3 linked regions of the Tamandua tetradactyla genome follow. The protein of the gene in region 3 binds, or shares a complex with, the protein of the main gene of each other region. Links are inferred from orthologs where the notes say so. Each region holds a gene or a part of one and is shown on either strand. Other genes may lie near its edges.

Region 1 (7,925 bases), about 100 Mb from region 3:
TCTTGCTGATCATGATGATGTTGCACCATCAAAGGTTAACATCTCCAGGTAAAATATATTCTTAGGCCAGAATTCATCATTAATGATAGCTTATGTCTAAATTTCATGTAGTCTTTTGGATAATTGTGAATGGTTTTTAACCTTTCTCTTGTCAGATCCTGTTTTTACTTCTCAACATGGTGGACAATGTGCTATTCGAAGTTCAAGCCGCAGATCTGACACTGATTTTCACCTGGGCTGTCATTACTGGCAGTCTCTCAGTCTTTGATTTCTCTGTAGAAATCTTTTTAAGCCATTTGCTTCCTAAATAGGAGGGTTGCTTGTTTAAAACTAGAAAATATTACCTTGTGAGTCCATTTACCATCGAATCAGCTTCAGGTGATATCAATACCCAGAAAGTGAAAGAACCAGAGGGGACGCCACTGTCAGCCCTCTGTGTTGGGGACTCCTGCCCTGGCCTCATGGCCTCTGCATTCGTCAGGTACAATACAGGGTATATGGCCAGCTGACTCAGGGACCATGTAAAGGCCCCACAGTGAATGAGTGTGATAAACATTAATAAGGCTCATTTAAAAAATTTTTGCATCACTACATTTCTTTTATCATTGAAAGAAAAAGAAACAGACTTTCTAACATTCTTCCCACCTCCCACTGATTTGTCTTGCCCACTCCACTTAGGAGAACCTGCCTTAGGCAAATTATCTGTCATCTCAAAAAATGTTTTCTCATCGGTAAAATGGGTTTAATATCACAAATCTCAAAGGATTTAATGGCATATGTAAAGGGCTTTTACAAATTCTGGCATACGATTTAAAGGAGAAACAAAAGGGAGTTACTATCATAATTATTATTAGTCTATTACACAATTACCATGTATTCATTTGTGTTATTCTTAGCCTAATTAAAAAAAAAAACAAAAACCCAAACAAGCAAACTCCTCTCAATACTCTTCGTGTTATGGCAAGAGCTATAGCTTCTCCTCACCTTCTCTCCCTTAAACAAAACAAAATAAAACCCAAAAACATGTCAGCCTTTTCAGCTTAGAAAATAATACAAAGCTTCTGAACACTTAGTAATCTTGTTCATTAACATGATAATTGCTAACAACAAAGATCTTATGAATTCTCTATAATTTTAATATATGTCTCATCCTTTCATTCAACAAACTTTTTTTTTTCTTTTAACAGCATACAATGTGCTGGGCACCCTGCTAATTGCTGGGGCTTCAAAGATGAATTGAACTTGCTCTACATCCTCCAGGCACTAACCATCTAGTGGAGAATACCAAACAAATAATCGCATCAAAGTGATAAGTGCTATAATGGAGGTACACACTGGTTGCTATGGAAGCAGAATAGGACAAGGGGTCTCCTCTGCCCGGGGAAGGGAAGGAGGGCCACTGGAAGGACGCTGGGCCATTGCTGAGTCTTGGAGGATGTGGGGTGAGGACCTGCATTTCAGTCAGAGGGAATGTGGACGAGGAAGGAAGTCTCCTTTGGAACCAAAAGATAGACCAGGTTTCCCAGAGCTCAGGCATTTTGAGATGGTCAATGAGGCTGGTAGGGACCTGTCCAGGCACAGCCTTGGAGAACACGCTAAGTATGAAATTTATCCTATAATGGATTGAGAATGGACCGAGGACAAACTAGAAAGTGATATGATCACAAAGAGAATTGAGGTGGTATTTTGGAGGAATGATTGTGAGGAGACAAGATCTACTGGGATTATTGATTGAGGGGAAAAAAGGAGAGAGAGAAGTGTTTATTTCTACAATAAATTTATTTGCTAATTCTAAATACATTTCTCCAATAAATTTATTTGCTAATGCTAAATTCTCTTCATTAAATTAAATGTCAGCTGATTCAGTCTGTCAAAGCTTAGTTTCCATTATTGTAGATGAAGTACCTATTCCCTAAATGGTCTTACCTGCTCTTCTTTGAAGTTAGGCAACATTTTAGTAAACATTAACAGCTTGTCTGTTGAAACTAGAAGCTCCCTAACTTTGTGCATGGAATTTTTCTTTATGAGTATTTTGTCACTAGATATCAATTTTCAAACCCAGTATCTTACTCTTTACAGAACTAAAGCAGAGTTACATAACAAGTGAATATGGCCACACAGAAATGAAAAAGTGACTTCCATCCCTTGATGCCAAACTAGAAAGAGAAAAGCTAGTTCTGAGAACACATTATGACTCATCAAAGTCCAAAACGAAAAGCTTCATGTGAATATAGCATCCTGTGCAGCCTCCTGGAGTCCTTTTAGCCTCCAACCATATTTGCTTTTGTGTGATTTTCTGCAAAACAAAAGAATCCCATCATTTTCCTCCTTAACATCAATTGTTAAATTTTGCCTTACCTCAGAGATGAAGCTCATGCTAGGTGTTCTGCATTCTTTTTGTACCAAGTGAATGATGGTGCTCTTTCATTTCTCCTGAGTTTAGGACTTATTTTATAAAATTCTTATTTGCTGTAATGCAAACCATAAACAAGATGATTCTTCAGAGGAAAGATCTGAAGGGAGAAGGTGGTGCTTTCTTAGACTAATGTGAGGGAAAAGGAGATGAAAAATCTATATTTAATCTGTGCCCCCAATGAAGATCTTGTTTTTAAATTCCCATAGTTGTGCCTCTAATAGATGGATACCATCCTCTCCTGTAGCCCCAAGTACTACATCAAAATTTTATGTGAGCTGAAGAATACACACATATACAAAGGGAATGCTTTCTTCTTTACTTTCCCTTTGACAAAATGCCAGAAGGAATGGCCAGTCTCATCATCAGTGTCTTACTAAGGTGATGTTCTCTTTGAAATTTGGCATGGCAGGTGGAGGTGGGATAAAGGACACTCATTCGTGAGGGAATAAAGATGAAGTCATCGATTTCTGCAAGTTGGCATGTGAGGTTGGCATGCAAGGGAAGCAAAAACAAATTTAAACCTAATATTATCTAATGTAATGTACATTGTCATTATCTTACAGAGCCTTTTATAGACAACTGAGTTATCTGGCTATATGATTAGTTGCAATTTATTAGACAGTTAGAAGTTAGTATTTTTATTATACTTTTACTACAATTTTTGCTTAAGATTTCTTGCTGTATATTTCTCAGTTAATAGTTATGTTGGCCCTCAGGCAGGGAAAACAAGTTCTTACAACGGATTCTTCAGGGCATACTATACTCTATTTCACTTAGGTGTGCTATCTTTTGTTGTCTTGAGGTTCACTTTGGGCTAGACAGAAAATTAGGAGGACAAAGTTAACAATCAAGTAACAAGGCCTTGGAAAACCTCAGGATGGGGGATAATTGATACTCCTAGCCACTCCAAAAACGGTGTCTTTGCACACCAGGCTTCAGCTAGCAATGGACTGGCATGTGAACAATACCTGCCACATAATGCCACATGGAGTATTTGGTGTTCTTTCCACGGCTTCTTGTCTTCAATTTATTCAGCCTGTAGTTTCAAGCATCCTAGAACTGCATTTCAGATCTGGTTGCTCAAGTAGAGTCAATGTTGCAATAGCAAAATGGTGATAGGATAGGATTTTACTCTAGGGGAAAAAATCCTCAACCAAAGTCACAGTGCACTTGGAATGACTAATTTAAGCCATTACATTACAAAATAAGGGATAAATCATAGTTTTCATAACACTCCCGTGTAGGAACAGTTTTAATTTTAAGAGTCAAGCACCTACATTAATCTGAGTCTAAAATAATAGGCCCCTGATTTAAAATCTCCCAACATTCTTTCACACTTCATAAAACTAAAAATAAAATTGTCTCAGCAAACCCTGACCTATTGGTCCGACCAAAGTACCATGTTTCAAAGAAAATTAGAACAAGAGATCTCAAAACCGTGAAGTGCCCGAGGTTTACTATTTGTAGCCTTAATTGGTCTTAAATGTGGAGTGGGAGAGAAGAGACGATGGGCTGTAGAGAAAAAGAGATTTATTCCCCCTCTTAAATCAAAAGCAGATTCCGTTCTTCAACTGCCCCCGAGCTCGCTTGCCCCGCCCCCGCATCGGGTTGTTTTTCTATATTTTTGTATATATTTTACACGAAAATGACAGATGAGGAAGGTTACAGTGCTATGTCTACTCCACGGAATATACAGAGGGGTTAAAGCGGGCTTATTTATTTATAAGGCGTTCAGCCTCTCAGCTGTTTCTCCCCTCACTGGCATTTGGAAGCTTGCAATCCTTTGGAGAAGAGACTGATTTGGCAGGAATGTTCTTTGTGCCTGCTACCCTATGGGGGGGGGGGGGGGAGGGAGCAGATTTGTAATTACAGCCCGGGGTGGGGAACGGAGAAGAAAAAGTTTCAACCGGCACGATAATGCCCCCTTTTTTCCCCCCTCGGTCAGCACCGTGCCACCAACAGCTTTTGGTGCCACTTAGAGCCTCTCCCTGTCCCCTCCTTTTCTCTCCGCAGGCTCGCACTGGCAGGCGGAGACAGTTAAATTCCAGCACCTTCCCCACATACCCCCAAACTACTACGCGCTATTACTACGGCTTCCCTCCCTTTCGCTTCGCCTCCTCCTCCCCTCCAGCCTCCCCGGAGGCGGCCCGCAGCGCCTGGGGAAGAGGACTGCCAAGGCAGGAATAACAGACGCCCAACTCCATCAGGGCTCGGGGCTTTCTGCGTCCTGCGCAGTTTATCCGCCCCAGGCAAAAACACAGCCCTAGAGCCGGCGCCTTGCAGCCACACACGGATCCAGTACAGTAGAGCTGTCTCGGTCTACATTCTTGCACACCGCCCCCTCCTCCCCCCGCGCTCGCGGAGTCGCCGAGCCGAGCGAGTGACAGGCGCGTCCCACCAACCCGCGCCCGGCCGGGCAGGGAGGAGCGGCTCTCGGGGCCAACTGCGGCGCGTCTTCCGGCGCCCGTGGAGGCGGCGAGGGTGGGACGCGGGGCGGAGCCCGAGTTTAGGAAGAGGAGGGGATGGCTGTCATCAATGAAGTCATATTCATAATCTAGTCCTCTCTCCCTCTGTTTCTGTACTCTGGGTGACTCAGAGAGGGAAGAGATTCAGCTAGCACACTCCTCGCGAGCAAGGTAAATATAACTTACAACTCCTTTCTCCTCTTTCCCCTCCCTCGGGGCTGCCCGCTGGAGCCGCGGCGCAAACCCCCTCCAGCACTGCGCCGCCTTCGCTGGGGATTATTCATTATTCTCCTAATTATTATTTATTGTGCATGCACGGAGACCAAAACAAACAGGCGGGCCAACCGACACAACAACAAAAAAGCCCGCCTCCTCCCCGCGGGCCTCAGGTGGAATGCTCTAACGACAGCTGCCGGGCGGGTGTGGAAGAAACGGGAAAGTTTCAACTGAACCTTGCTGTTCTAATAATAATAATAATAATTACTACTTAGAGGGAGCCAGGAGGAAAAACCAACAAACCACAGCCTTGACCCTGTGTAGGCAGTCGGCAATGCGCTGCCAACTTAAGGTTGCAACACACACACACTCGGCAAGGTTGTAATCCGCCCCATCCCCTTAAAAGCCGGGGGGGGGGGGGGGAGGCTTGGGGGGAGGTGGAGGAGAATGGAAACGCGACAGTTCATCCCGAGCAATCCTCCCCGGAAGAGTTGGAAGGGGAGCGGGAGAGGAGGACGAAGAGTCCGGGCAGGCGGCGGGGCGCCAGCGGACGCGGCTGCCACCGCTCCGGGGGATTTGTTTAAAGGGCTCCGACTGCGGAGACGCGAGTGGATTGCGGCGGGAGAAGCCGAAGCTGACGCGCGGAGAAAGCGGCAGCTACAAGCCGCCGGGCTGGTGAGCGCCGGATCCGAGGTGTCACCTGCACTTTCCGCGTTCCCTCCGGCGGGGACGGGGCCGCTGGCAGATAGACAGCAAGGCCTTTGGGCAAAGCGGCTACGGGGCGGGGGGAGGGCGGGGGGTACGCCCCGGGCGCTGCGGGCATCCCTGCTCCTGGTACCTGGCGGCCGTGCAGGCTCGGGTGTTGAAGTTCGGGGTGTCCGGCCCCGGCAGCATCGCTGGGAGGGAGAGAGGAGGCCCCGAAGAAGGAGGTCGGAGGTGCCAGCCAGGTTCAGTTACACTACCCTCCCCCTCCCCGGGTTTGTTTTCTTTTGCTTCGCTTCTTTCCCTTGGCTAGGGCTTGGGGAGCAGCGGGCGTGGGTCGCCGGTGATCGTTCGGGTGCTAGGGGCTCGCTGGGGCCCAGGAGAGCCAAGGCGGCTGCGGGCCGAGGAGGCCATGATCCGGATAATCCTCTCTGCCTGACTGTCACAAACAGAACTCTCACGCACCCGGGCAGCGGTGGTGGCGTTCGCCGGCTAAAAGGGAAAGGGCTGAGGGGGAGGATAGGGGGTAGCGAGGGAGGGAGGCTGGGAGATGGGGTGGGAGCTTCCTCCCAACGATGACACGGACCCCTTCCTTCTCGCTCCATGCTTTCGAGTTTGCTTTATTCCCATCCCAACCTGGTTTACCCCTTACTCAGCTCTTCCAACCCCCCTTCACCCGCCCGCCTTCCCTCCTCCCGTTTGCGTTGCAAATGCTGCCATGCCATCTGCAAAGGTGTCGCGATGCACTTCCCCAAATAACCGGTCCGGCGCGCCAGTCCCCGGGCGCCCACCGACCGCAGAGCACACGCCGAGCCCGGTGCCCTGGTACCCTGCACAGGCCTCACAGCCTGGGCGCAGTTGCACCTTGTGGGGCGGGGCACAGCAGTGCGGGCTCCGGGACACCCAGCGCGCTGGCCTGGGCACTCGCGCCGGTTTCCGGTACACGCGGGGAAACCGCCTGCTGCCAGTGTCTGCGCGCTTGCCCCCGCCTCCGCCGCCCGATTGCTATTATTTTTATACGGTCGCCGTTTGCGGCGTATGGTGGTGAGCGCCAGGCTTGCCGGGCTGCTTGGGGGTTGGGGGTGGAGAGAAGTTGGACGTGGATCAGGCAGGAAAAAAAAAAAAGTTTGGCAGGGAGGCTAACTACGGTGGAGGGATGGGAGGGGGCGGCGAGCGCCAGCAGCTTGCGTCTCGGCGCCCTCGGGGCCGGGGCGAGGGTGCCTGCGCGTGAGTGTGAGTGTGCGTTGTGCGCGTCGGGGCGAGTGCGTCTGGAGTCGCCGCGCGGGCAGCCGCTCCCGCCCGCGCCCTCCCGAGGAGCTCAGGGAGGGAAAGACGAGGTTTGGCGGCGGGAGCTGCTGGGGGTGACGTGCTCGTGTGAATGTGAGTGTGTGTGTGCGCGCGCGAGCGGCAGAGAATCAGGAAGTCACAGCAGCGAAGCGCACACAGACATGTTTGATCGCCGTGACATGACGCGCGCGAGGAAGGAAGCGGCGGCGGGGGCCGGGCCCCGGGCTCCGGCGCGGGCCTAGAGCTCTGGGGAAGAACCACGCTCCGGGCGGTGGACCGCGCCGACCCCGCAGGCTCTCGGAGTCCCAGCGCCGCTTTTTGTTCCGAGTCCCCCAGGTAAGCAGCCTGCGCCGCCACTGCCACCGCCCGCGTTGTGCGGAGCTTTCCAGCTCTTTCCCTGCCGGCCCCCTCTGATCTCCCCGCTCGCCTTTCCTGCCTGCAAAGTCAGGCAGGCGGGGGGAACTGGCTCCTTGTCCTCCCATCGATTGCGTGGAAAACTTTACAGCGGGAGGCACCGTGGAGGAGGAAAAAGAAGGCCTTGCTGGCTGCTGTCGCTTGTCAGACCTTTCTCCTTCAGGTCCGGAGAGTGTGAGTCGCTGCGCCCTGGGGCTGTTCCACCTTCAAACTTCGGGCCTAAATGTGCCTCCGACTCTCGCAGGATTTGCTCCAGCAATAAGATAAATATTCAAAGTCGTCCATTTGGTCTGGTCAGGCGTTTGGATTTTTTTAAGGGAAGAAGGGAGTCGAGGGAGTGGGGGTGTTGTGCAGAATCCATTCCTTATTTAATATCTGCACCGTGTGTTATGTAATTTTTGTAGCACATGGGTGCAAAGCCCATA
Region 2 (7,339 bases), on a different chromosome or scaffold from region 3:
CTGGGGCGCAGGCAGGAGGAAGTTGAGATAACACGGGGTCAAGAGGCAACCAACCAGTCTGCGGTGGGCATGGAGGGAAGACCAAGCCACAGTAAGCAGAGGAAGCATTCCTCTCTCCCCGCTCCCCAGCTTTATCCTCTGTCTTCATCCTCATTGCCGCCACTATGATCAGGTGTGCAGTGTCTTTTCCTATACACCATCTCATTCAATCCTTCTACAAGGTACATTAGCTTTAGCATCTCATTTTATGATCCAGAGACTGAGATTCAGAAAGGCTAACTTGTGAAGGTCACCCAGCTTGTGAAAGGCAGAGCTATGACTTGAACCTGTGTCTCCTCCCCCAACCTCACTGAAGGGAGAACATCTTGGTGCTGGACATTTTCTTTGAAGTCCTCAACTATGAGACCATTGAGCAGAAGAAGGCCTATGAGATTGCAGGGCTCCTGGGTGAGCTACTGAATGCACCTGTTCCTTCCCTTGCCATGGGCGGGGCCTGACTCCCTGCTCACCTCTGTCTCATATGGTCCCCACTCCAGGAACCCTTCCCCAAACCCTGCTGCCTTGGTATGTGGTGGGGCAAGAGGGCTGAGCCTTTTCTTAGGGTAAAGCGAGCGGCCCATGGGCATGGGGACGGGGGAGGGACAAGGGTTACAGGGGCTATTTCACACTCTCTGAAAACTGGTCCAGAGACTAAGAGTGTTGGGTATTTTGTAAGCAACTGTTTTACGTGAAATAATACCTATGCATTTTAGAAAAGTAGAAAATGCTGGAAAAAAAAAAAACACATAAAAACCCCACCAGAAGCTGGCTTTGCGCCCGTGCATGAAGGTTGTCAACACCCTCGTGAATAGGATTTGTTCGCCCCTGTTACTGCGAGCCGTGCCGCCCCCACGGTGACCTCCCTGACCTCCACGCACCCCTCCCGCAGGTGACATCGGGGGCCAGATGGGGCTGTTCATCGGGGCCAGCATCCTCACGGTGCTGGAGCTTTTTGACTACGCCTACGAGGTAAGCGGTGGGGGTGGGGTGGGGGTGGGGCCTACGCCGAGGGGCGGAGCCTACGGAAGGGGTCCCACCCCACCCCGCCGCCTGTCGCAGGTCATTAAGCACAAATTGTGCCGGAGAGGGAAGTGCCAGAAGGAAGCCAAAAGGAGCAGCGCGGATAAGGGTGTGGCTCTCAGCCTGGACGACGTGAAAAGACACGTGAGGAAGCCAGCGAGAGGTGGCGTCGGGGCCCACCCTCCCCTCGCTGCCCCGGGGCCCGCCCCCACCTACCCCCCACGCCCCACCCGTGCCTTCACACCATCCTTCCTTTGCCTCCTCCACACCCCAGTGACACCTGTGACGCTGATAACCAGTCCCTGTCCTGTGTGTGCCCTTCTAGAACCCCTGCGAAAGCCTCCGGGGCCATCCTGCCGGGATGACGTACGCTGCCAACATCCTACCTCACCATCCGGCCCGAGGCACGTTCGAGGACTTTACCTGCTGAGCCCTGCAGGCCCCTGTACCAAAGGCCTAGATGGGGAGGGCTAGGAGAGCAGGGGCCCCGTCCCCTCCCCCGGCTGCCCCCTTCAATCGGCTCCAGGACTTATGGCCACCTCCTAGGGCAGTCCCCCACTCCTGGACAATCCTTTCCTCTCCTCTGTGGTGAGGAAGGAGTTTTGACCTGACCATACTCTCCCTGCCTCTATCCCTTTTTTTGTTTGTTTTTTAAACAAAACTAAACTAATCTAAAAAAGAAATTAAAAAGAGAGAAGGGGGCAAGGGACCTCAGGCTGACCTGCTCTGCCCCATGCTGCCTCCCCTAGCTTCCAGCCTGAATTCTCTCCGTCTGTCATCTGAGCGTCCACCTACATTCTGCTGCCACCAGTCACCAAAGCCCCCCCAGTGGGTGGGGCAGGGGATCCTTGGGGTCTGGAATTTGGCCCCAAACCAGAGAATGTATCTTGAGGGGGAGGGCTGGGAAGGGGCTTTCCTAGCCTTAAGAGACCCCCTCAACGCAGTGATCCCCCACCCCCACCCCAATCCCAAGTCTTCAGGCAGAAAGTAAGACCCCAGTCTCACTTCCTCACACCATGTGGAGTCCCTAGGGGGCTGGGTGCAGTGATCCTCTGAATTGGAGACGGGGGCAAGATGCGGCCCTGGTGCTGTAGGCCACACCCCGATACTTACACGTTCACCCCCACACTAGAGCCGTAGCTGCTGGAAAGAAATCCCAAGAAGCAGCCGTCCTCTTACATCCCATAAAAGACCCCGCTGGTTGGTTTCCAGCTCAGGGAGAGGGTTACTGGTGCCTGAAATCACTGGTCCTTCTCCCAGGGGCCCCTGCAGAGGGCCACATCCATAAATTTTCTTATGGAACTCTCCCAAGTCCTTTTCCCCAACTCCATTTGCTTCTCTCAACAACCTCATCTGCATTTTCTATTTCTATATGATACAGACTCTATATTGCTATATCTCTGTATATACTTTTCTCCAACCCTGTCTGTCTCTCCCCATACACTCTTGTCTCTGGAAACCACCCCCTACCCTGAGTTCCCCCTTCTGTGTCTCTGACTCCCCCTCCCCCTGGTTTCTGAATGCCTTCGCCTGTATAAAGAGTTGGACTCTCTCCCCTGGTGTCTGTACTGTGTACACACATCCCTCTGAGAAGCACAAGGAGACGACACACGCATTGTAAACTTCGCACTGTCTTGGTGGCGACATAAAGGAAGCTGTGAATCACAAGCTCTGCCTCTTTCTGGCCTCATCCTCTCCTCCCAACCTGGGTATACTCTGCCCTCCCTGCAGCCTTAACATTCTCTTCCTCTGCTCCACCCTCCCCAGTACCCTTTACCTGGCTGGTTCCAGCCTCTGAGGAGAAGGGGGGAATGTTGCTACAGTGATAGCCCCCATCCAGGGAATGGGGACCTAGTCTACACCCTAAGCCAAGGAGAATCTTTCTCCCAAGCTAGAGGCTGGAGTGCCAGATTCAGAAGGAAGCTGGGGGTCAATCACTCCTGTAGTGGGGGTAGCGGAGTGCGGACAGGAAGAAGCTGAGGTCCTCAGTCATGGTCTTTCCCTCCTTCTGGGTGCCCAGTTCCCTTTTCTCACCTGATATTCAAGCCTGCCACTCACATTTTCTGGTGAGGTAAGGTGTGCAGTGGGAGGAAAGAGACAGGCCTAGAGGAAAAGTTGAAAGCTCTGCTGTTCTGTTCCACGCTACCTTAATGAGAGGCAAGTGAGGGAGAGGATTAGCCCCCTCTCCCTTCCACAGGCATCCCTCCCAGCCCACAGTCCCAACCCCTTCCCAGACCTTCTCTGCCCAGCCTTCTCTTGGTCTCCAACCCTGGAACAGGACCTATGGGTAGGTCACCTGTGCATTGGCCTGGAGCTGGTGAGTGAAGCTGTAGGATCTTTGGCAACTCCTGATTCTTAGGAGTTCTTAGAGAGCACACCTTCCCAAAGGGAATCAGGAGCAAGGCCAAAAGTGTGCACTGGATGGGGAACAGCAGGTGTGGCTCTGAGTGACGCATGCCTCTGGTGTAATAAACTGGGTTTCAACCATCTCCTTTTCAGTGTTGTTCTTCAGTTATTTGGAAAGTTATTCAGGTCTTCCCATCAATTGCCTAATGCTGAACTTGGCTTGGCTCCAAAGAATGAGGGGGAGGAGTAAGAACAGGGTTTGAGTAGGGAGGTCCTGATCCTCCTAGAATAGAACAGGCTGACCATCTCTCTGGGAATGGTTTGAACCACTGAGCAGGTAAAGAGGGAGAGGCCAAAGACAACAAAGACCCCAGAGAGAAGTCCCACCACAATGGATTTTTTGGAGAGGAGGACAGAGTCAAATTCAAGATAAACTGGAATTTAAAATCTGGAATCAGGTTAGGTTAAAGGTTAGGAACAAGTTGGGTTGAAGTTCCAGAATGAGGTAGTTATTCAGGCATTTTATCTGTGGAATGAGCCCCGGGCTAGAAGCCAGTAAGTAGATCTGGATTCTAGGCTTTGCTTTGTTACTAACTTGATAGATGACCTCTGCCAAGTCATTTACCCTCTGAGCTACATTGTAGAATAGAATAAATAGTGCGTTCTCATCCTCAGCACCCCGTAGATATAGCAATAGGGAGTGAAATGAAAACAGTCAAAGCACTTTGGAAGGTTAAGGACGCTGCGCCTGGACGAAGCAGTTACTCTGCCATCCTCTGCATCAGAAGGTTGAGGCTGGGGCTGGGGTCCGCCTTTTCCAGGTCTTTGTCTTCCTCCCGTCGGCTTGAGGGCGCTCGCTCACAGTGGCTCTCTATCCCAGAGCTCATCTCTGTGGTCGTCCCTCCCGGACCGTGAGGGCTGGAGGGAGTGGTCAAGCTCAGCCTTTTCCGCTAGCCCTCCCGCTCTAGCCCACAGTCTCGCTACCCTGAGCCTCCCGGGCCAGGCGGGCCGGCGGGCGGACAGCCGGGCTCTCGGGGGGCGCGCGGAGGACAGGGGGAGTTCCGGTTCCGGTTCTTTGTGCAGCTGCGGCAGCGGCTCCGGGGAAGATGGCGGCCCGGGCGGGTTTCCAGTCAGTGGCTCCAAGCGGCGCCGCCGGAGCCTCAGGAGGGGCGGGCGCGGCGGCCGCGCTGGGTCCAGGCGGGACTCCGGGGCCCCCAGTGCGAATGGGCCCAGCTCCGGGTCAAGGGCTTTACCGGTCACCGATGCCCGGAGCGGCCTATCCAGTGAGTAGGGCAGGAGGAGGAGCGCTCGGGCCGGAGGCGGGGCCGATGGGGGCTCAGGAGTGACAGGGGTGTGGTGGGGGGAGAAGTAGGAGGGGCTCCCCTGGGAGGAATTCAAGCCCTGTGTAGAGTGAGGAGAATTAGTGCGAAGAATAGGAGGGGGAGACATTTAGCATCCCTACCTACTCCAAAAGGAGTATTGTTTCCGTGCATGTCAGGGTATGAGATCAGGGTTGACGGCCTCGGGCCAGGGGTGGGCAGGTAAGGGCTGGAGCCCACAGGGGCTTGGCAGCTCTAGTGCCCAGAGGAAGACAGAGGGTATAGCTGGCAAATTGGGGTCAAGTTCTAAGGAGGTAATAGCTGGCAGAGTAAATGTGGGAGGTAAATGTGTCAGATCTAGGGTAGATAGGAGAGAGCATTTGAGTGTATTCTGGTTATCGCTTATTTTCTGGGCTATATTGACCCATGGAATCACAGTTGGAGTGGAGAAAGTCCCAGTTGCTTGTATTTCGACATTACCATACCAGTCTGGTTTCATTTAAAGAACTCAGGCATCCCTCACTTTTCCTTTCTTGTTGGTCTTAATAGGGGAAACCATGACATCTCTGGGTCCTTTTCCCTCTATAGCGACCAGGTATGCTGCCAGGCAGCCGAATGACACCTCAGGGACCTTCCATGGGACCCCCTGGCTATGGGGGGAACCCTTCAGTCCGACCTGGCCTGACACAGTCAGGGATGGACCAGTCCCGCAAGAGACCTGCGCCTCAGCAGATCCAGCAGGTCCAGCAGCAGGCGGTCCAGAATCGAAACCACAAGTAAGATGACTCTGGGGCAGAGGGAGGGAGGGGGGAGATCTATGAGAACAAAGGTGGTGGGAGTATTCTGAACCAAGAAATAGTGGTTCCCTGTCAGCAGTCTGGGGCTGCAGGACTCATTTCTCAAGAATGAGAATGTGAAAGGGGAGCTCTTTGATTTGAGAGGAGCTTTGCAGCCCCTCCACATTCTATAAATGGAGTGCTGACAGCTTGTTTTCATGTTCTGACTAGTTTCATCTCATCTAATAACAGTATTTATTCTGAACAGTGCAAAGAAAAAGAAGATGGCTGACAAAATTCTACCTCAAAGGGTGAGTCCAGACTATAGGTTTTCTTGAGGATACAGTGAGTTTGAGAATAGAGATGGTCAGCTCTAGAACCTAATTGTTATCTTTCTGTTCTGAAGATTCGTGAACTGGTGCCAGAATCCCAGGCCTATATGGATCTCTTGGCTTTTGAAAGGAAACTGGACCAGACTATCATGAGGAAACGGCTAGATATCCAAGAGGCCTTGAAACGTCCCATCAAGGTAACACAGGAGAGTGCTAGGCAGAAAGCCAAAGGAGAGAACTTGGGAAACTTCAGCAGTCTTAGTGAGAAATCAAAGGCATAACATAGCTCTCTCTGGCATTTAAATTGGATCTCTCCCTTCTGCCTACAAAGAGAGAATTACATTAGGAGCATAAGAACAGAATGGCAAAGGGGAGGGGCTTTTGATGTCTCTTGCATCAGAAATATACCTTGTCCGTGTTTTTGTTATAACTGCTCTCCCATCTTGGGATCCTGGCACCTTGCATGATTATCCACCCGGCATCCCTGTGTATGCACTTGCACTCAGGCCAGTGGCCTGTGTTCTTCTCCTGGATGGAATCTCCACCAACCCTAGGGACTGGGTAGACAGTAAGCCAGTTTGTTAGGAGTAATTTTGGGGTTTGGGGAGATCCTTGTCTGCAACATCAAACCGCTGAAGCCCCACCATCAATCCTGTTTCTGCCTTCCCCACAGCAAAAACGGAAGTTGCGAATTTTCATTTCTAACACTTTCAATCCGGCTAAATCAGATGCCGAGGATGGGGAAGGGACAGTGGCTTCCTGGGAGCTTCGGGTAGAAGGACGGCTCCTGGAGGATGTGAGTTCAAGGTCCACCGAGGTCGGTGTGTCTAGGGTGGGAGCTGCTGGGAATGAGCAGTGTCCTCTGGTCTGCTGAGACTGTGAACACAGCTCCTGTTGGGAGCACAGGGACGAGGGACACTCTGTTCTCTGTACTGAAAGACAATGGTTCTTTGTGTCTGTCTCCCACAACTTTGACCCTCACTATGGGTATCATTATTGTCCTGGGATCTGACTTGTTGTTTCCCTTCCCCTAGTGCTGAGGCCATTGGATTCACCAGTATCTGAAGATTACTTTAGTTTTTTTCCTTAATCAATTGAGTTTGCTCTTGACATTTGAGGCCATAATTTTCCTTTTCTGAGTCCTTGAGGTCATTGATTCCCACTATGGTATTTCCCTCTTCCCAACTTTAATTCCTCACAGTGTAAGTGGGATAGATGTCTCTGATAAACTTTTCATTGCTTTATGAAGAACATCAGCTGATACCACAGCAGCTCTGTGGGGAAGCTCACCTCTCATTCCTTCATACTCGACAGCTTTTAATTTAAGCTGCCACAGGCAAGCTAATTTGAATGCACGTTTGCAGGAGAAGCAGGGCTCGGTGTCAGAGCCTCCTTCTCTATATAGGTCCATTCCATCTGCTGGTGTTGTCATTTGGTCCAAATAAAGCCGTTTTTGTTCTGGCTGCTCATTGCCAGTGATTCATTTCCCTTCTAGAGTCAGACTTTT
Region 3 (7,150 bases):
AAAAACAAGACCTTAAGATGGGCGAAAAAGGATGTAGAGAAGGGGTTATTAGGCACCCACCAAACTTGATGCATCCTTGGTTATTCCTTTGGGATTCTAAAGGTTTTTGGCAGGCACAGTTTTACCAGGAAGGGTTTTTGAGCGCCATTCAGGCTCCATTCCATTTTTCTCGGTGTCACTCCAGTTCATATTTTACAGTTCCCGCCTGGTAGCCGGTAACATAATGAATTGCCTTGACTCTCGCTTCAATCCACTTTCCTCTCTTAATATGCAGCCCAAAGTTTTGCAGCTCGCTGTCAGATGATAGTGCTAGACTTTCACACTGATCCCAAAGCCTCCACTGGGGCTGTTTCTTAACACGGAGTTACAAACTTTAAGAAACAGACAGCTCCAGGCGGAAATCCATGCCAGACTTTGAATTCCGCTTCTGGCTTCCGTCAACTGACGGAGTTGCCCTTTTGCTCAAACTCGCTGCTCCAGTTCGCACTCGCGAGCTCCGCTGGGTGTCTGCTGTTTTGCCGCGGCTGGAATGGGTGTGGGGGCAGCAACCACCGATTCCCCGCGCTTTAGTTCAGAGCTTAAAAAGTCCCCCCCCCCCCCCGAGGAATGGGGGAAGGAAGGAGTCCTGATGAGGAGCAAAGCCTGACCTTTTGTTTGTTGAGTTTTGTATTTCAGATCTTTTGGGAAAGCAAAGCGCGAGAGAGGAAGAGCTATCCTCCCTACAAACGTTTTCCTCTCTTAACCTTCCAGGTCTCGGATCCACATTTTGCAGTTGACTGTGTGGAATCTAATAGGTTGTTCCCTTGTTCTCGGGCCCAATTCATGCGCAATGTGCAGCTGGGTAAAATGAGAGCACATCCTCTGCCATTTTCAGTCTGTTTGTCCTGGCAGCCGTACTCCCTTTACCCGGCGGCCGCGGCCGCTGGAGTTAATGTTGTGTCCAGAAACCCCGCCAGATCCTCCGGGAGGTAGATCCAGTCCACGTTTGCCCAAGTGCCGTGCGGTCGGGGACGGTGATAAGAACTCTCCTGTGTGGAGAGCAAGCGAGACTTTAGTCCGGTTTCCATGTCAACGATTCAGTCCGTATTTGCCATCAGGCTGTTGGTGGTTGAGGCGCTTTCATGAGGGTAGCGCTGTCCTAGTCCTAGTTCTCCAATCTGCGTCGGGATTCCTGAGCTGCCTGGGTGCGGGGTTAAATGGCAGGGGCCATGGGGAAGAAAACTCCACCGAGGGGAGGACTCGTAGTCCCTAGCTGGGTCTCGCAGCTCGGGCCAGCCACGTGCCCAGCTTCCTCCCCTCCCCCCCTTTCCCTGTACCCCTAGAGAGAGTTTGTGGGCTAGTTTCTAAGAAAGTTCCCTTCAGGCGTGCGATTCCAGGATGGGGGTGTAGGGCTCTAAAGGTAGGGATAGAAAAGGATCCTAAACGAGTTGGAATTAAAAAAAGAAAGAAAGAAATCCCGTGTTACCTCCCCCAGTCCAGGTGGATAGATTTTGGGCAATTCACCTAATTGCTAGATAAAAATGGTGGCTGTTTTCAAAACAATGCTCACATGTAGGGAGAGGAATTTTGGCACTTTCCATATTTCACAGCCACTGAAGAAAGGGAATGATGAGGGTTTCTTTTGGAGACATCCATTCAGGCTTCCAGATATACACTGGCTCCAAGTTTCCCATTACACTTAAGCTCTGAGGAAAATGACAGGGCAACTGCATGTAAAAATTCCTCATTTGTGTGCAGGACTCAGGACTGTTTGCCAGTTCACGGGCAAGTGGTTAATAACCAAACTCCATTTATGAGGCAGAATATAATTTGGTTTCTTTAACGTAATACACTAGGAAAGTTGTTGTCCCTGGACTATGAATGAAACTAAGGCACTGGCCCATTCCAGTGAATTGGATCTTCTTGGTAGGGTTTCAATTCTTGACTTTGGGGGAAAAAAAGGCAATGTTTTAGATTAGGAGGATGGTTTTGCCTTTTTAGTGTAGGATGCTCTAAGATTTTTTTTGGGGGGGGGGTGTTAGAAATGAGCTCAGGCTTTTGGAATTATTCACAGTGACCAGTAGCTTGGTAAGGACTCCTGCAGGGGCCTGCAGAATCTGAAAGTGCTAAGATAATGATGAAGTCTCCATTTATAAAATCTGAGGGGAAAAGAAGCTCTGGGGTCTAGAAACGCTTGTCTGGGCCTCTCTTAAGGCATCTGTGAGCCTGGTGAGGAGTTGGAATCCCCTCTGGCTTTCATAGCCTGTCATGTCAGAGCATTCCAAGTCAGCCTGAGGAGGAAAAGGCTGCTGGGCAACGCTGGAGTTTTTTTATGTATGCCTTGATCTTTTCAAATAAACCTGACCTAACTAACATATACCTAACTCCAGTTCCATCAGGTTTTCTTAGAATGTGATGGTAAACTTTAAAGAATCTTTACACTGAGGAATAAGAAACAAATCTGGGTTGCATCTGTTTTCTGAATGACCTTTTAGACTGTGACTTTTCTGTTTCTTTAAGGATAAAATTGTTTCCCTCCTTTTGGCCATCCCTTTTCTTCAGTGGTTTGTTTGAACATCAGGTACCTCCAGCCCAGGAAGCCTCTTCCACAGGCTGTAGGGGCTGCCTTTGGGTATTGATCATTGTGGGCTAAGCTCTTTTAGGAGATAGAGAAGGGGCTCATATTCTACTTGATGTCTGACTGCCATATGCCTCCAAAGCAGCTTCCATTGAGACCACTTTAAATCTGTGGTGAGCTGAGCAGCTTTGATCTCAAACCCATCCTTATTCTGATATTCTGATCCCATCACTGGATTTGTCCACAACTTGACTGCTTTTTTTAAAAGGATAAATAGACAGGAATCAGCCTTGGGGACTCCACTTCTTTTTAAAGCCACCTTCCTCTGTCCTCTAACTTTGTGACCCAAGACAAGTCCCTTCCCCTCTCTATATTTCAATTCTATGAAATGGTGATAATCTGGACCCCAAGGCCTTGTCAGGACAGGATAATGGAGGTAGGATAGCAAAAAAACAATGATCCTTAGGCCAGCTACCTAGGTAAAATGCTGGGACCCACTGCCTTACTCAGCTGGATCTTTAGAGCCGGTTTGCAGCAGAGGTGCTAAGTAGCTGCCAAGAGACCAGGCCCACTGCCAGGGGGTCAGGCCAGAGCCCTGGCGGCCGTGGTCTCGGGCTCAGGCCAATTTTGCAGCCGCGGGTAAAGTTCACGCTGCCGGCTCCCTTCCGTGCCGCCACCGGTTGGGATGGGAACGCCGGGAGGGAAGCGGCGCAGGTTCCACAGAGGTGGGAAGTCCGGGCCAGGTTTTCCCCGATGCCTTCAGCGGCGGCGCGGCCGAGCTAAAGCTACCGAGGGCCTACAGCCGCCAAGGCTTGTTCTTTCCCCTCCTCCTTTGTGAGGGGAAGGGAGAGAGTTCGTTCCGCGGCCCGCGCCCGTTCCGTGTTCCATTTCGGGTTTGCCAGGCGGCCGCGACGGCGCTGGGTAAAATGGCAGTGCTGAGCCTCGTGTCGGAGTGAGGGGGACTCGGAGGAGAGTGGGGCGCTCTAGCCACTCAGTCCGGCCGCCTGCCCGCTCGCCCGCTCGCGGCCGCACAGCAGCCTCGGCCCGAGCCGTGGCCGGGGAGGGGAGGCACGGCACCCGGCCCGCGTTCCGATTTTCCCTCCCGGCGCCCGGGTTGCTGCCGCGCGCCCTCCAGCCCGCCCGTCCCGGGTCCCCCTCCCCCCGCTCCCTCCCTCCCTCCCCGCCCCCTCCCCCTCGCCTCCCTCCCTCCCTCCCTCCCTCCCTCCCTCCTCCTTTCTCCGGCAGCAGAAAGCGGAGAGTCACAGCGGGGCCAGGCCCTGGGGAGCGGAGCCTCCACCGCCCCCCTCATTCCCAGGCAAGGGCTTGGGGGGAATGAGCCGGGAGAGCCGGGTCCCGAGCCTCCAGAGCCGAGAGCAGCTAAGCCGCCGGCGCCTCGGCCGCCGCCGCCTCCTCCTCCTCCGCCACCGCCAGCCCGGAGCCTGAGCCGGCGGGGCGGGGGGGAGAGGAGCGAGCGAGCGCAGCGCAGCAGCGGAGCCCCGCGAGGCCCGCCCGGGCGGGTGGGGAGGGCAGCCCGGGGGACTCGGCCCCGGGGAGGGGTGGGAGGGGGGGGAGAAGACGAAGACAGGGCCGGGTCTCTCCTCGGACGAGACAGCGGGGATCATGGCCGCGCAGGTCGCCCCCGCCGCCGCCAGCAGCCTGGGTAACCCGCCGCCGCCGCCCTCGGAGCTGAAGAAAGCGGAGCAGCAGCAGCGGGAGGAGGCGGGGGGCGAGGCGACGGCAGCGGCCGAGCGCGGGGAAATGAAGGCAGCCGCCGGGCAGGAAAGCGAGGGTCCCGCCGTGGGGCCGCCGCAGCCGCTGGGAAAGGAGCTGCAGGACGGGGCCGAGAGCAATGGGGGTGGCGGCGGCGGAGCCGGCAGCGGCGGGTCCGGCGCGGAGCCGGACCTGAAGAACTCGAACGGGAACGCGGGCCCTAGGCCCGCCCTGAACAATAACCTCACGGAGCCGCCCGGCGGCGGTGGTGGCGGTAGCAGCGACGGGGTGGGGGCGCCTCCTCACTCGGCCACGGCCGCCTTGCCGCCCCCAGCCTACGGCTTCGGGCAGCCCTACGGCCGGAGTCCGTCGGCCGTCGCCGCCGCCGCGGCCGCCGTCTTCCACCAACAACATGGCGGACAACAAAGCCCTGGCCTGGCAGCGCTGCAGAGCGGCGGCGGCGGGGGCCTGGAGCCCTACGCGGGGCCCCAGCAGAACTCGCACGACCACGGCTTCCCTAACCATCAGTACAACTCCTACTACCCCAACCGCAGCGCCTACCCCCCGCCCTCCCAGGCCTACGCGCTGAGCTCCCCGAGAGGCGGCACTCCGGGCCCCGGCGCGGCGGCGGCCGCCGGCTCCAAGCCGCCTCCCTCTTCCAGCGCCTCCGCCTCTTCGTCGTCTTCGTCCTTCGCTCAACAGCGCTTCGGGGCCATGGGGGGAGGCGGCCCCTCAGCGGCCGGCGGGGGAACCCCCCAACCTACCGCCACCCCCACCCTCAACCAACTGCTCACGTCGCCCAGCTCGGCCCGGGGCTACCAGGGCTACCCCGGGGGTGACTACGGCGGCGGGCCCCAGGACGGAGGCGCCGGCAAGGGCCCGGCGGACATGGCCTCGCAGTGTTGGGGGGCTGCGGCGGCAGCGGCGGCGGCGGCGGCCGCCTCGGGAGGGGCCCAACAAAGGAGCCACCACGCGCCCATGAGCCCCGGGAGCAGCGGCGGCGGGGGGCAGTCGCTCGCCCGGACCCCGCAGGTACACAGCTGAGTGGGGAGGGGGCTGGGGCTAGCGGGGTTCTGGGAGGTGGGTGGCGGCAGCGGGAAACCGGCCACAGCCGTGGGCTTCCCCCAGTCCCGGGCCCCCACTCCTGGGGACCTGCCATTGTCTGGCTCTTCTTTCTTAAAATGGCTGCCTCTCTGCCTACCTCTCCTTTCCTCCTTCAGCCTTTGTGTGGGGCTTTCACAGAGGTGTCTGCTCCCCTTCCCCCTCTCTCCTAGTTCCTTAGAACTCTGGGGGTCTTCAGAGGGGTTGTGGGGCAGAGTGGGCGGCGAAGGGCCTTGCCTGGGGTGAGCCGGGGCTGGGGACTCAGGTTAGCGATATAGGCAGTGGCAGGAGCTTCGGGAGTTAAGAGAACAGTTTTTTGCTCACCTGCCACTCCTCTCTGCCCCCTTGCTTCCTCTAGGCCGTTCCCCTTCTGTGCTTTCAAGGAGGGGCCCCTCAGGCTCGAGGGAGGGCAGGGGCCTGCTTGGAGGCCGCTAGAAGCCGGCTGCGGTTCACCCAGGACAGCCCGGGCCATCCCCGGTCTTAGTCTTCTTCGGCCCTGTGGCCCGGGCTTCTCCCTGGAAGTGCTGGTAAACAGCTGAGTGATTGGAGTAGTAAGTGCAGATTGCTTTGGTTTGGGATTTGAATTATGGAGGTAAAATCCTTCTGTCAAAGCCAGGAGACAGTTGGTCTTAGGTTGACATCCTATCTGTGATCTGATTGGCTCCCCATCTCCTGCTCTTGGCCATTTATAATTGCCTCTGATGTAATGGTACAACAATCCTGATGAGCTCATAAACTTTTACACTCTGCTTTTCTGCCAGTGATAACCCAAACCATCGCTGCCACTATCTGCCTTTTATTCCAGAGCTGAAATTGGCTGTGACCTTGAGGAGGGAGGTTTAAGCAGCAATACTGTATCAGCAGGAGCAAAGCCCCAGACAGGTTGCCCTTGTTACATTGTGCACAAAACAAAAGAGAGGCAATGGCATTTCACTTGTACCTTGGATTTATTTTGCTTGTTATGTTTTATGCAGCCTGAAATAGATGCTGTGTTGTCAGAACAGTAGCTGAGTTTTTCTCTACAATGGGTTTGCTGTTTGTTTTGGTTTTGACTTTCCTGATGGTATAAATGACTTCTTTGATGATTCTGAAGATGCATTTGTCTTGAGTAATTTCGATCTTGTTTGCTTTTCAGAATTGAAATTATTTTACTGGGCATTTTATTGAGTGGTGAATGTGAGATCTTTATTCGGGAGTAGTACTTTTTTTTTTTTTTTTCTTAGTTTGGAGAACTGGAAGCTTTTTGAGAGAATTTTGTATTAGGTTCAAGTGTTCTGTTTGTGACCTCATTCTTTGTTTACATGTTGAATCTAACACTCTTTTTTTTGTTAATTAAACTTTGGCAGAGCAGCTCAATTTAAAGGGAAGCTAATGTCTGTATTTCATGATGTTAAGAGGGATTTTCTCCTGAAGACTTGATTTGGTGAAATTTATCATTTGATCCTGTAATATAAAAAACTAGTTTTCTAATGTTTCAGTCATTTTAGAGCTTTGAAATAGAAATCGGCTAACTTTTTCTCTGCATCCCTAGGTATGTTTCTTTTTTCTTGTCTTCCAAGATATAAAGATAGGACCTACTGTGATACTTAAAAGATTTGCTTAGAAATCACAATTTTTGTACTTTTTAATGCATCCTATTTTATTTTTATTTTGCTCTTTTTCTCTCTTCATTGTGTTCTGTCTTCAAGGTTTTAATCAGGAATGTTGGGTTCTGTATGGAGCCATATATCTTTAAGAAGAGGGAAAGTGGTCCCTTCATGCTCCCTCACCCTCAGCAGTACC

Evidence for each region.
Region 1: ARID1A (region 3) and SMARCA2 share a complex: the UniProt entries of both Homo sapiens proteins name them as parts of the neuron-specific chromatin remodeling complex. The link is inferred for Tamandua tetradactyla from reciprocal best matches to the Homo sapiens genes ARID1A and SMARCA2.
Region 2: ARID1A (region 3) and SMARCD1 share a complex: the UniProt entries of both Homo sapiens proteins name them as parts of the neuron-specific chromatin remodeling complex. The link is inferred for Tamandua tetradactyla from reciprocal best matches to the Homo sapiens genes ARID1A and SMARCD1.

The regions. Positions count from the first base shown.
Region 1 is NC_135328.1:96,172,375-96,180,299, reverse strand, and holds the start of SMARCA2 (SWI/SNF-related matrix-associated actin-dependent regulator of chromatin subfamily A member 2), read left to right. Parts: upstream 1-4,877; 5' UTR 4,878-5,052; intron 5,053-5,538; exon of another isoform or gene 5,539-5,772; intron 5,773-7,048; exon of another isoform or gene 7,049-7,422; intron 7,423-7,925. UniProt on the Homo sapiens protein: ATPase involved in transcriptional activation and repression of select genes by chromatin remodeling (alteration of DNA-nucleosome topology).
Region 2 is NC_135333.1:111,100,418-111,107,756, forward strand, and holds the start of SMARCD1 (SWI/SNF-related matrix-associated actin-dependent regulator of chromatin subfamily D member 1), read left to right. Parts: upstream 1-4,291; 5' UTR 4,292-4,511; coding exon 4,512-4,688; intron 4,689-5,312; coding exon 5,313-5,500; intron 5,501-5,768; coding exon 5,769-5,811; intron 5,812-5,906; coding exon 5,907-6,029; intron 6,030-6,505; coding exon 6,506-6,628; intron 6,629-7,339. Other genes in the region: ASIC1 (acid-sensing ion channel 1), read left to right, coding at 356-447, 929-1,008, 1,099-1,203, 1,385-1,489. UniProt on the Homo sapiens protein: Involved in transcriptional activation and repression of select genes by chromatin remodeling (alteration of DNA-nucleosome topology).
Region 3 is NC_135328.1:199,507,612-199,514,761, reverse strand, and holds the start of ARID1A (AT-rich interactive domain-containing protein 1A), read left to right. Parts: upstream 1-4,121; 5' UTR 4,122-4,177; coding exon 4,178-5,299; intron 5,300-5,321; exon of another isoform or gene 5,322-6,250; intron 6,251-7,150. UniProt on the Homo sapiens protein: Involved in transcriptional activation and repression of select genes by chromatin remodeling (alteration of DNA-nucleosome topology).